2 linked regions of the Cricetulus griseus genome follow. The protein of the gene in region 1 interacts with the protein of each later gene in a pairwise test. Links are inferred from orthologs where the notes say so. Each region holds a gene or a part of one and is shown on either strand. Other genes may lie near its edges. The genes, in order: Chn1 and Hemk1.

Region 1 (3,815 bases):
GAGTACTGGGATTACAGGTGTGAACCGCCACAGAGTACTGGGATTACAGGTGTGAACCACCACAGAGTGCTGGGATTATAGGTGTGAATTACCACACAAGTTGTGCTTAATTGTTTAAAGCAGGAAGGAACTTCAGTTCTAGTGGGTGCTCATTTAACAGTCCAAGAGACAGAACAAGATGGCCATGCTCAAAGCCACATGGCTGATTGGTGGCAGTCCCAGGACACAGATCTCAGGCTCCTGGCATCTGGTGCAGACCTCTTTTCTGTCTGACGAGCTGCCTTTAACTTCGGTGGTATGTTCAAGCTCATGCATACCACCCTAGCTGTTCCAGACAACCCAGGTAGGTATTCAGAAGTCGCCCTTTCAGTGAACCCTCTGCACCTTATGAAGCTAAACTGCCCCCAAAGTGGTGAAATATTAGATTTCTGCCAGAGCAATAGGAGAAGACAATAAATCCAACAAGCATATGCTGATTCTAGGTGGCTGAGGTTATTTAGGAGGTTACCACAATGCCTTAGTGACCAACAGGCAGGGGAGGGAAGCAATTGGTGTTAAACTAATGCCAAATACAATTTTCTATTTTCCCCATGACAAGGAAAAAAAGCTATGAATAGTTTTGATTTCTAAAAGCCAAATTTAATAAATTAATAATGCATGCCAGGTAAAAATATAACTTTACAGCTGAAAACCAATAATTTAACAGAAGATGCTGTGTGGTGCATTTTTATTGATAGGATAACTTACTGAAGTAACAGGCCTGAAAACACACTTGCTTTTGCTGAAGAGAAAGCACTATGTTGGAGAAGGAGAAGCTGGAAAGGAACTGTTGTGGAGTTGGCATATGGTAAAGTGATGGTGATGCAATAGCCAGGGCACTGCTTATGTGTGTGTGTGTGCAAGCATCAGAAACCAATGGCATGGACCCCAAAAGCAAAGTCATGACAGTTTACTCTGGGAAGCATGCTGGGTGACAACCACAGACAAGCCAGGACAGAGAGGTGATGCAGGTACAAGTCTGTGATTCCTTGATGTGGGGTTTCCTCACCAAACAGGGGTAATCATGCAGTAGCTTGAGTTTCTCTTAACATGATAAACACCCAGGATTACCAGAACCGGAAAGCGTGTGTTCGCTGTTTTACAAGGACAGCTGAGTGGTGCTACAGAAATGACAGAAAGTTCCTTCATTTAAATCCGGGTATTTGGTCAAACCTCTAACCAAGAAACAATGCAGCTAGTGAAGCTAATTAAATTACTAGAAAACCTTCCTTCATGTGTAAACCATTTCCCCTTAAATGAAAGCTCTAAAATAAAATGTCTTCATTTTTGATCAGCAGCTCCACCACCAGTCTCTGGTAGCGAATGTCATTCAGGGCGGCCATTGGATCGAGCTCTGGGGACCTCATGAGGGTTGGCCCAAACACGATCCCAAGGTTCTCTGCACTCATCAGATTCTCCTTCTCATGAAGGGTCACTCTGAAAGACACAAGTGCAACACAGATGACTTCACTGACACAGGCTCTTCGTCAAGTCCAAACCTCCAAATGGAACCAGAGCCACATCAAGGCTTGTGTTCACTGGCCAGCTCTCCCAAGTTGTTTTTCCGTGCTTCTCGGAAACATCAAGGAATGTGACTTCTTTTGAAGTAGGTCATACTGATAAAAAACTTAAAGTCCTGGTGATGGCTGGGCTCACATCTGGACTGTGTGGGTTCTGATACTTGTGGACTCTCCTTCTCAGATGTTATTTCTGAAAATGGAGGAGGTGGAGGAGGAAGAGGTCTGCCCTTCCTTTACTTTGGCTCTCAGCTCCTCCTGGACCTGTCTGCAAAGTGAACCCTGAGTGTATAGGAGAGCAGCTGTGAGAGCAGAAGAGTGGCTCAGGGAGGACAATCAGGCTCTGCCTCTCTTCCTGCTACCCTACAGCATCAGTGCAACCATCTTAGAAAATGGCTACTTTATGACAGAACTAAAGCCAACTATGCAGCAAACTTTACGAATGGGATTAGTTGTTAGCATACTCAAAGAAAGTTTTAACTCACAGTGCCTTTAAAGGGGGAAAGAGCTGGGTGTGTGGTTCACACCTTTAATCCCAGCACTACAGAGGTGAGGAAGGCAGATCTCTGTGAGGTGGAGATGAACCTGGCCTATATAGTAAGTTGCAGGTCATCCAGGGCTATATGGCAAGACACTGTCTCAAAAACCGGACTAGAAGGAGGAGGAGCAAAGAAAAAAAGAAAAGAAGAAAGGCGCAGGTATCCACGAGTGACTGTAATGTCATGTGCTTTTGGATGACGCATGCTTTGGGGCATATAGAATTTTTGTTTCTAATTGATTTTAGAGTTTGAGGCCCTAAATCCATTGATGTCATGTAACTGTGAAATTTTTGTTTCAACTCACAGAGAATGATCATCATCAGTCATAAAACAGTGTAAAATTCTAACTGAAAGGATTCTTCCTTCCTCCATCACTGTTTATGCCACTGTCCAGTGTTGGTAACAGTAGTTAATTGTCTAAAATCCTATACCAAGATTGGAGCAATAAGCTAAGAAAAAGGAGTTGCCTCACAAACTGACAGCAGCATCCCTTTCTCCTTCTACAAAATGCTCTCCAACATCTGCAGTATACTAGCATACTCACAAACAGGTCCTAGAACTACAAGGCCTGGGTGTCGGCATGAGGCTGGCATGTGGTACTGCTGTGCACAATATTTTTAGCACCCTTTCCGAACTAACGCAGTTTCTCACAAGACAATGCCGCTGTGCACCTACACATTCACTCAAGAGAACGTGTCCCTTCTTTCACCTTTTGCTTAATTTTATTCTTGAAATTTGGTTGTAACTTGCCTCTTTAGATGTGCCATGAGGTACCGGAGGGTTTCGCAGTGGGCAGGCGGCAGCAGTCTCAGTGCTTCATGAAGGGTCTCCAGCTGCTCATCAGGGTCCATAATTTCTACAATAGCAAGGAGGGAGGATGCTCTAGCAGAAAACTGATGTGACTGCCTAGGAATATTCTCCCGTGATGCTTTTGTACAGCAAGTGAAAAACAGTATCTCACTGAACCTTGCTCATAACCCAAAAGTAGCTGTCCAAGGCCATCTTAGCTTCAGTGTGGAAACAGGGCTTAATGGGCTTCCCCCAGCCCACTTGAGGGTCTTATGGTCTGGCAACTGAAGAAAATGGACACACTAGGTATTCAGAATGTAACTGTAACAAATCCAGACACATGCAGACACACAAATAAAGCCTTATACACTCTAATGAATTCATCTGAGAACATTATAGATATACATATTTCTCAGAATATTTTGGAAACCCCTGTAGTATACAAGACAAGCTAGCCTACTGCCTCTTGGGACTCCTGGCAAAGTCTTACTGACAATGTTTTTTTTTCTTTGCTTTTAATGATGTTGCTTATCTTTGTAGTGGTATGGGCAGAACCCACACCTCATAAATACTAGGCAAGCACTCTACTACTGAGGAATACCCCAGTCCTTTTCTTTCTAAGAAATGTATCATCTAACATTTGCTTGCTATATGTATTATGCTGTGTGTTATAGAGCAAAATGAATTCTCCCTTCAAAGCATGAGGACTCTCCATTTCTTAGAACATGTTCTGAAGAACACCCAACAGGCAGTTAGCTCTAAGTGTGCTATGCCATGGTGGCATCCTGTGTTAAGGGGGTTCTTCCAAAGGAGTCCACCATGAAGAGAAGATCTAGACAGCTGAGATCTGCACTAAGGGCTCACACACCAGCTCTTCACTGTAAGAGCTCTGCTCCATCTGCCAATCATACCTGTAACACAAACAGCTGAA
Region 2 (3,815 bases), on another chromosome or scaffold:
CCCTGTGAGAAAGCTGAGGACACACCAGCCACCCTGGTTTATTTTTTTTACCCCCATGGTTCTAGGGGGTGAAACCCAGGATCTTATATGCTGGGCAAGTGTTCTTCCTTTGCACTATATCCTCAGCTCCACAGTTCAGGCTCCAGATAAGGGCCTTGACTCTTGGGTGTTTCTTCATGAGCCAGTGGTGATGGTCTAGCAAATTAGTGCTCTAGAAGCAGGACTAGGCATAGAGGGATTGGCCATCAGATATGGTTCTCAGCATTGCTGTGAGTGTAAAAATGGGAAGATGTCTGGATGGCATAGCTGGGGTTCATTGTGCACAAACGCAGCAGATAAGGGATCAGTTATGTGATTCTGATTAATCTTTACTGTGTTCCTGAGGGGAGTGCTCCATTTTGCAGATGAGTAAGCTGAGGCAGGGACAGAATGACCCACCCGGAGTCCTTGCTGATGTCAAGATCACTTTGGCTTTGGCAGTCTCCCATCTGCCTTCACTAGGAGCCAGCTGCTTGGACCGCTTTGTTAAGGCTCCCCAGGAGCAAGAATGGCACCCAGTCTGATCCAGACCCTCTGCCTTCCAGGAACTGGTTGAATGGGTTTTAGAGGAAGTGGCCCAGAGGCCCCCTGCAGTGGGAACCAAAGGTGGTCCCCTCATTCTGGAGGTGGGCTGTGGATCAGGAGCCATTGCCCTCAGCCTTCTGAGTCAGCTCCCACAGGTAAGCCCCCCCACCCCTGCATCTCTCTACCCTGCCTTTACCTGACATTGAGAGAGTCACCCACTGGCCCTTTCTCCACGTCCTCTGCAGAAGCACTGAGGGAAAGTGGCCAGAACAGGAAGGTGCGCCCAGCACAGCATGGTGTCACCTCTGACTTCCATCCCTGTTGGTCTGGCTGGAACCTAACTATAGGAAAGCTTTGCTACAAGTTTCTTTCTTCTGGGGAGCTAGCTGAAGGTTCCCAGACAAACATTTCCCAGAGTTCCACCTCTTTTGCTTTGTTCTTGGGGCAGAGTCAAGTCATTGCTGTGGATAAGGAAGAAGCCGCTGTTAGCCTGACCCGTGAGAATGCTCAGAGGTATATGGGCTGGGAGGTCCAGAGAGCCAGCACTGGGGAGTTAGACTTTGGGACCTGAACTTGACCTTTATTCTAGTATCAAACCTAGTGTCTGACTTCCATTCTTGAGGGAGAGGTGCGATGAGGGTGGCCTGGCATGGGTCCCACGGGTTTATAAATGGATGGACTATGAGCTGTGTTGCTGATCTAAGAAGGGCTCACTTTCCCTCTTGATCCTCGTAGCCAAGGGCAACAGCTTGCATTCTGTGCTCACCACCACCTCCCCATCTCTCCAGGCTTCAGTTGCAGGACAGGATTCGGATCACTCGCCTTGATGTAACCTCAGGTACACCCCCTACTCGTCTTCTTGGGGTGGGTGTCCTGGATAGAAGGTTTGCTGGTGGGTGAGGCACTGCAGAAATGTGGTAAGGGTTCCCCAGTAACCATACCTGTGGGCCAGTGGGCCGTCTCAGAGCAGCCCTTGCTGAGGACAGACTGGGTGCTGTTGTTGTCATCTCCTCGGCTGATCTGACCCATGAAGGGACTAGCCACAAGGTCTTTCTGCTGGGGAGGGAGGTGTTGAGACAGGGTTTCTCTGTGTAGCCCCGGCTGTCTGTCTCTGCCTCCTGAGTGGTGCCAATAAAGGTACGTGCCGCCACTTCCCAGCCACAAAGTCTTTCTTCTCCTGGATCCCCTATAACTGATAAGTTTAACTAGTGTTTGTTTACTGGCAAGAGATTAAACAGATGTTCAAAGGAAAGCAGTTCAGAGCCAGCTGTGAGGGCCTCCACCTGTTACCTTAGCAATGGGGATGCAGGAGGACTCCTGTGAATTCAACATAGTGAGTTCTAGACCAGCTTGTGATACAAAGTAAAACATCTCAAAAAACAAAAACAAAAATCAAACAAAATAGCAACAACAAAGAAAGAAAACTTGGATGTGAGGGCGATTTGGCCCCGACATCTGTCACCCCATTGATCGCCAGGGTTGATTCGGCTGATCTGGCTGGCTAGGCGGGTGTCCCCTTCCTCCCCACTCGGTCGAAGAGGACGACCTTCCCCGAATAGAGGAGGACTGGTCTTCCGTCAAGGGTATACGAGTAGCTGCACTCCCCTGCTAGAACCTCCAAACAAGCTCTCAAAGAAAGAAAACTTTAGGGCCTAAATACATATTTATCTCTCTCTGCCTCCACCAGGCTATGCCAGGCTTGTGGCAGGCTTTGCAGTATCCTCAGGTTTCCAGCTCCAGTGCTGATCCTTCTATTAGCCATGGAATCCCCGGGCTTTATGTTAGTGTGATGCACCCGGTTTTGCATCTGGTACAAGTGGGACCCAGACAACAGCCATAAGGGTTGGCTGCGGGCGGCCTGTCCTCCCTATGCTTTGAGATTATATTGATTATAAAGCAGAGAGTGGGAAGCCCTTCCTCTGCCTGTGTAATCAGGGAGGGCTTACTGGAGGTGGCACTTGAATATTGCTTAATGAGGAGGTCTTGACAGAAGCAGAGAAAACATGGGCATGCTAGGTGAAGGGCTGCACGTCAGAACATGTCCACTCCTGGCCAGTCTGCTAAGTGGGGACTCTGGCTACTCATCTTCAAGTCTGACCAGGTCTAAAGACAGGCCCTCAATATGACTTGAGGACAGTGACTACCTAAGGGACAAGGTGGCAGGTAGAGCTACCAACTTTTCCTTCTCAGTAGACCAGTTCGTTCTATGTGTCCTCTTTGCCCACAGAAGGGTGCTGGACACGCCTTTTGCCCTGGGGCCCTGTGGACTTGGTGGTCAGTAACCCTCCCTACATCTTCCACAAGGACATGGAACAACTGGCCCCAGAGATTTGCAGGTACAGGGTAGGTGGGCGTGGCAGAGAAGCTTTAGTAGGATTGGCCTGGGCTAGAAGACTCCATCTGGAGAAAACAGGGGGGCCCAGGGGGACAGCAGGGTTAAAGAGGCACACTTTAGAGCTTGCTGCCTTACTGGGACCATTTTCAGCTTTGCACTTCTGACTCCTGGAGACCCCTAGCCTCCCTGAGTCTCCATTTCCTGCTTTGAAAGAGGAATGGTAGTGCTTGCAGGACCATGGGAAGGACTTGGCATCCGGCATAGCGAGACCTAATAGAAGGCACTCGTAGAGGGATGTGTCATTTTACACCAGACCAAGGCCGGGAGAGGGAGGGTGCCCTGTCTAAGGTCCCGTGAGGATTTCATGGAAAAGCCAGCACTGAAACCTCTGGTTGTGGAAAAACCATCCTACATTTATAAGGATGGGAAACTCAGGGTAACCATGTGTCCCTACATAAGCACTGGTGACACAGGGTGGGTGCTGGAGCCTCTTTTCTGGGCTCAAAGAAGTAGTCAGGATTGGGTTTTAAATGTCCTCAGATCAAGAGCAGGAACAGCTAGGTTCTGAGGGCACCTCATGCCCTGAGGGCTGTCTGTCAGTGGGACTCAGCAAGTCCATTTAGCCCTGCCCTATGGGGGAAAGTAAAACCTGTTATCTGTTTAGGAACCATTTGCTAATGGATCCTCCCTCAGCTTACCTGTCAACCCAGAGTCTTCAGTCCCACTGGGCCCTTTGTGAAGGCCTGCTTGGCCACCCCAGGCTCTTACCTGCCATGCTTTCCGTTCAGTTATGAAGACCTGGTGGCCCTGGATGGTGGTGAGGAAGGCATGGACATCATTACCCACATCTTGACCTTGGCGCCCCGGCTTCTGAATGCCTCTGGGTATGGATCCTGGCCTCCTCCACTTCCATTGT

Evidence for each region.
Region 2: the proteins of Chn1 (region 1) and Hemk1 interact in binary tests that used the Homo sapiens proteins (3 or more experiments, as listed by UniProt). The two-hybrid records come from large-scale screens. The link is inferred for Cricetulus griseus from reciprocal best matches to the Homo sapiens genes CHN1 and HEMK1.

Annotation. Positions count from the first base shown.
Region 1 is NC_048599.1:101,528,421-101,532,235, reverse strand, and holds the end of Chn1 (N-chimaerin), read right to left. Parts: intron 2,952-3,815; coding exon 2,846-2,951; intron 1,477-2,845; coding exon 1,305-1,476; 3' UTR 628-1,304; downstream 1-627. UniProt on the Homo sapiens protein: GTPase-activating protein for p21-rac and a phorbol ester receptor. Involved in the assembly of neuronal locomotor circuits as a direct effector of EPHA4 in axon guidance.
Region 2 is NC_048597.1:215,506,625-215,510,439, reverse strand, and holds part of Hemk1 (MTRF1L release factor glutamine methyltransferase), read left to right. Parts: intron 1-584; coding exon 585-719; intron 720-1,012; coding exon 1,013-1,077; intron 1,078-1,352; coding exon 1,353-1,402; intron 1,403-2,791; coding exon 2,792-2,900; intron 2,901-3,563; exon of another isoform or gene 3,564-3,687; coding exon 3,688-3,783; intron 3,784-3,815. UniProt on the Homo sapiens protein: N5-glutamine methyltransferase responsible for the methylation of the glutamine residue in the universally conserved GGQ motif of the mitochondrial translation release factors MTRF1, MTRF1L, MRPL58/ICT1 and MTRFR.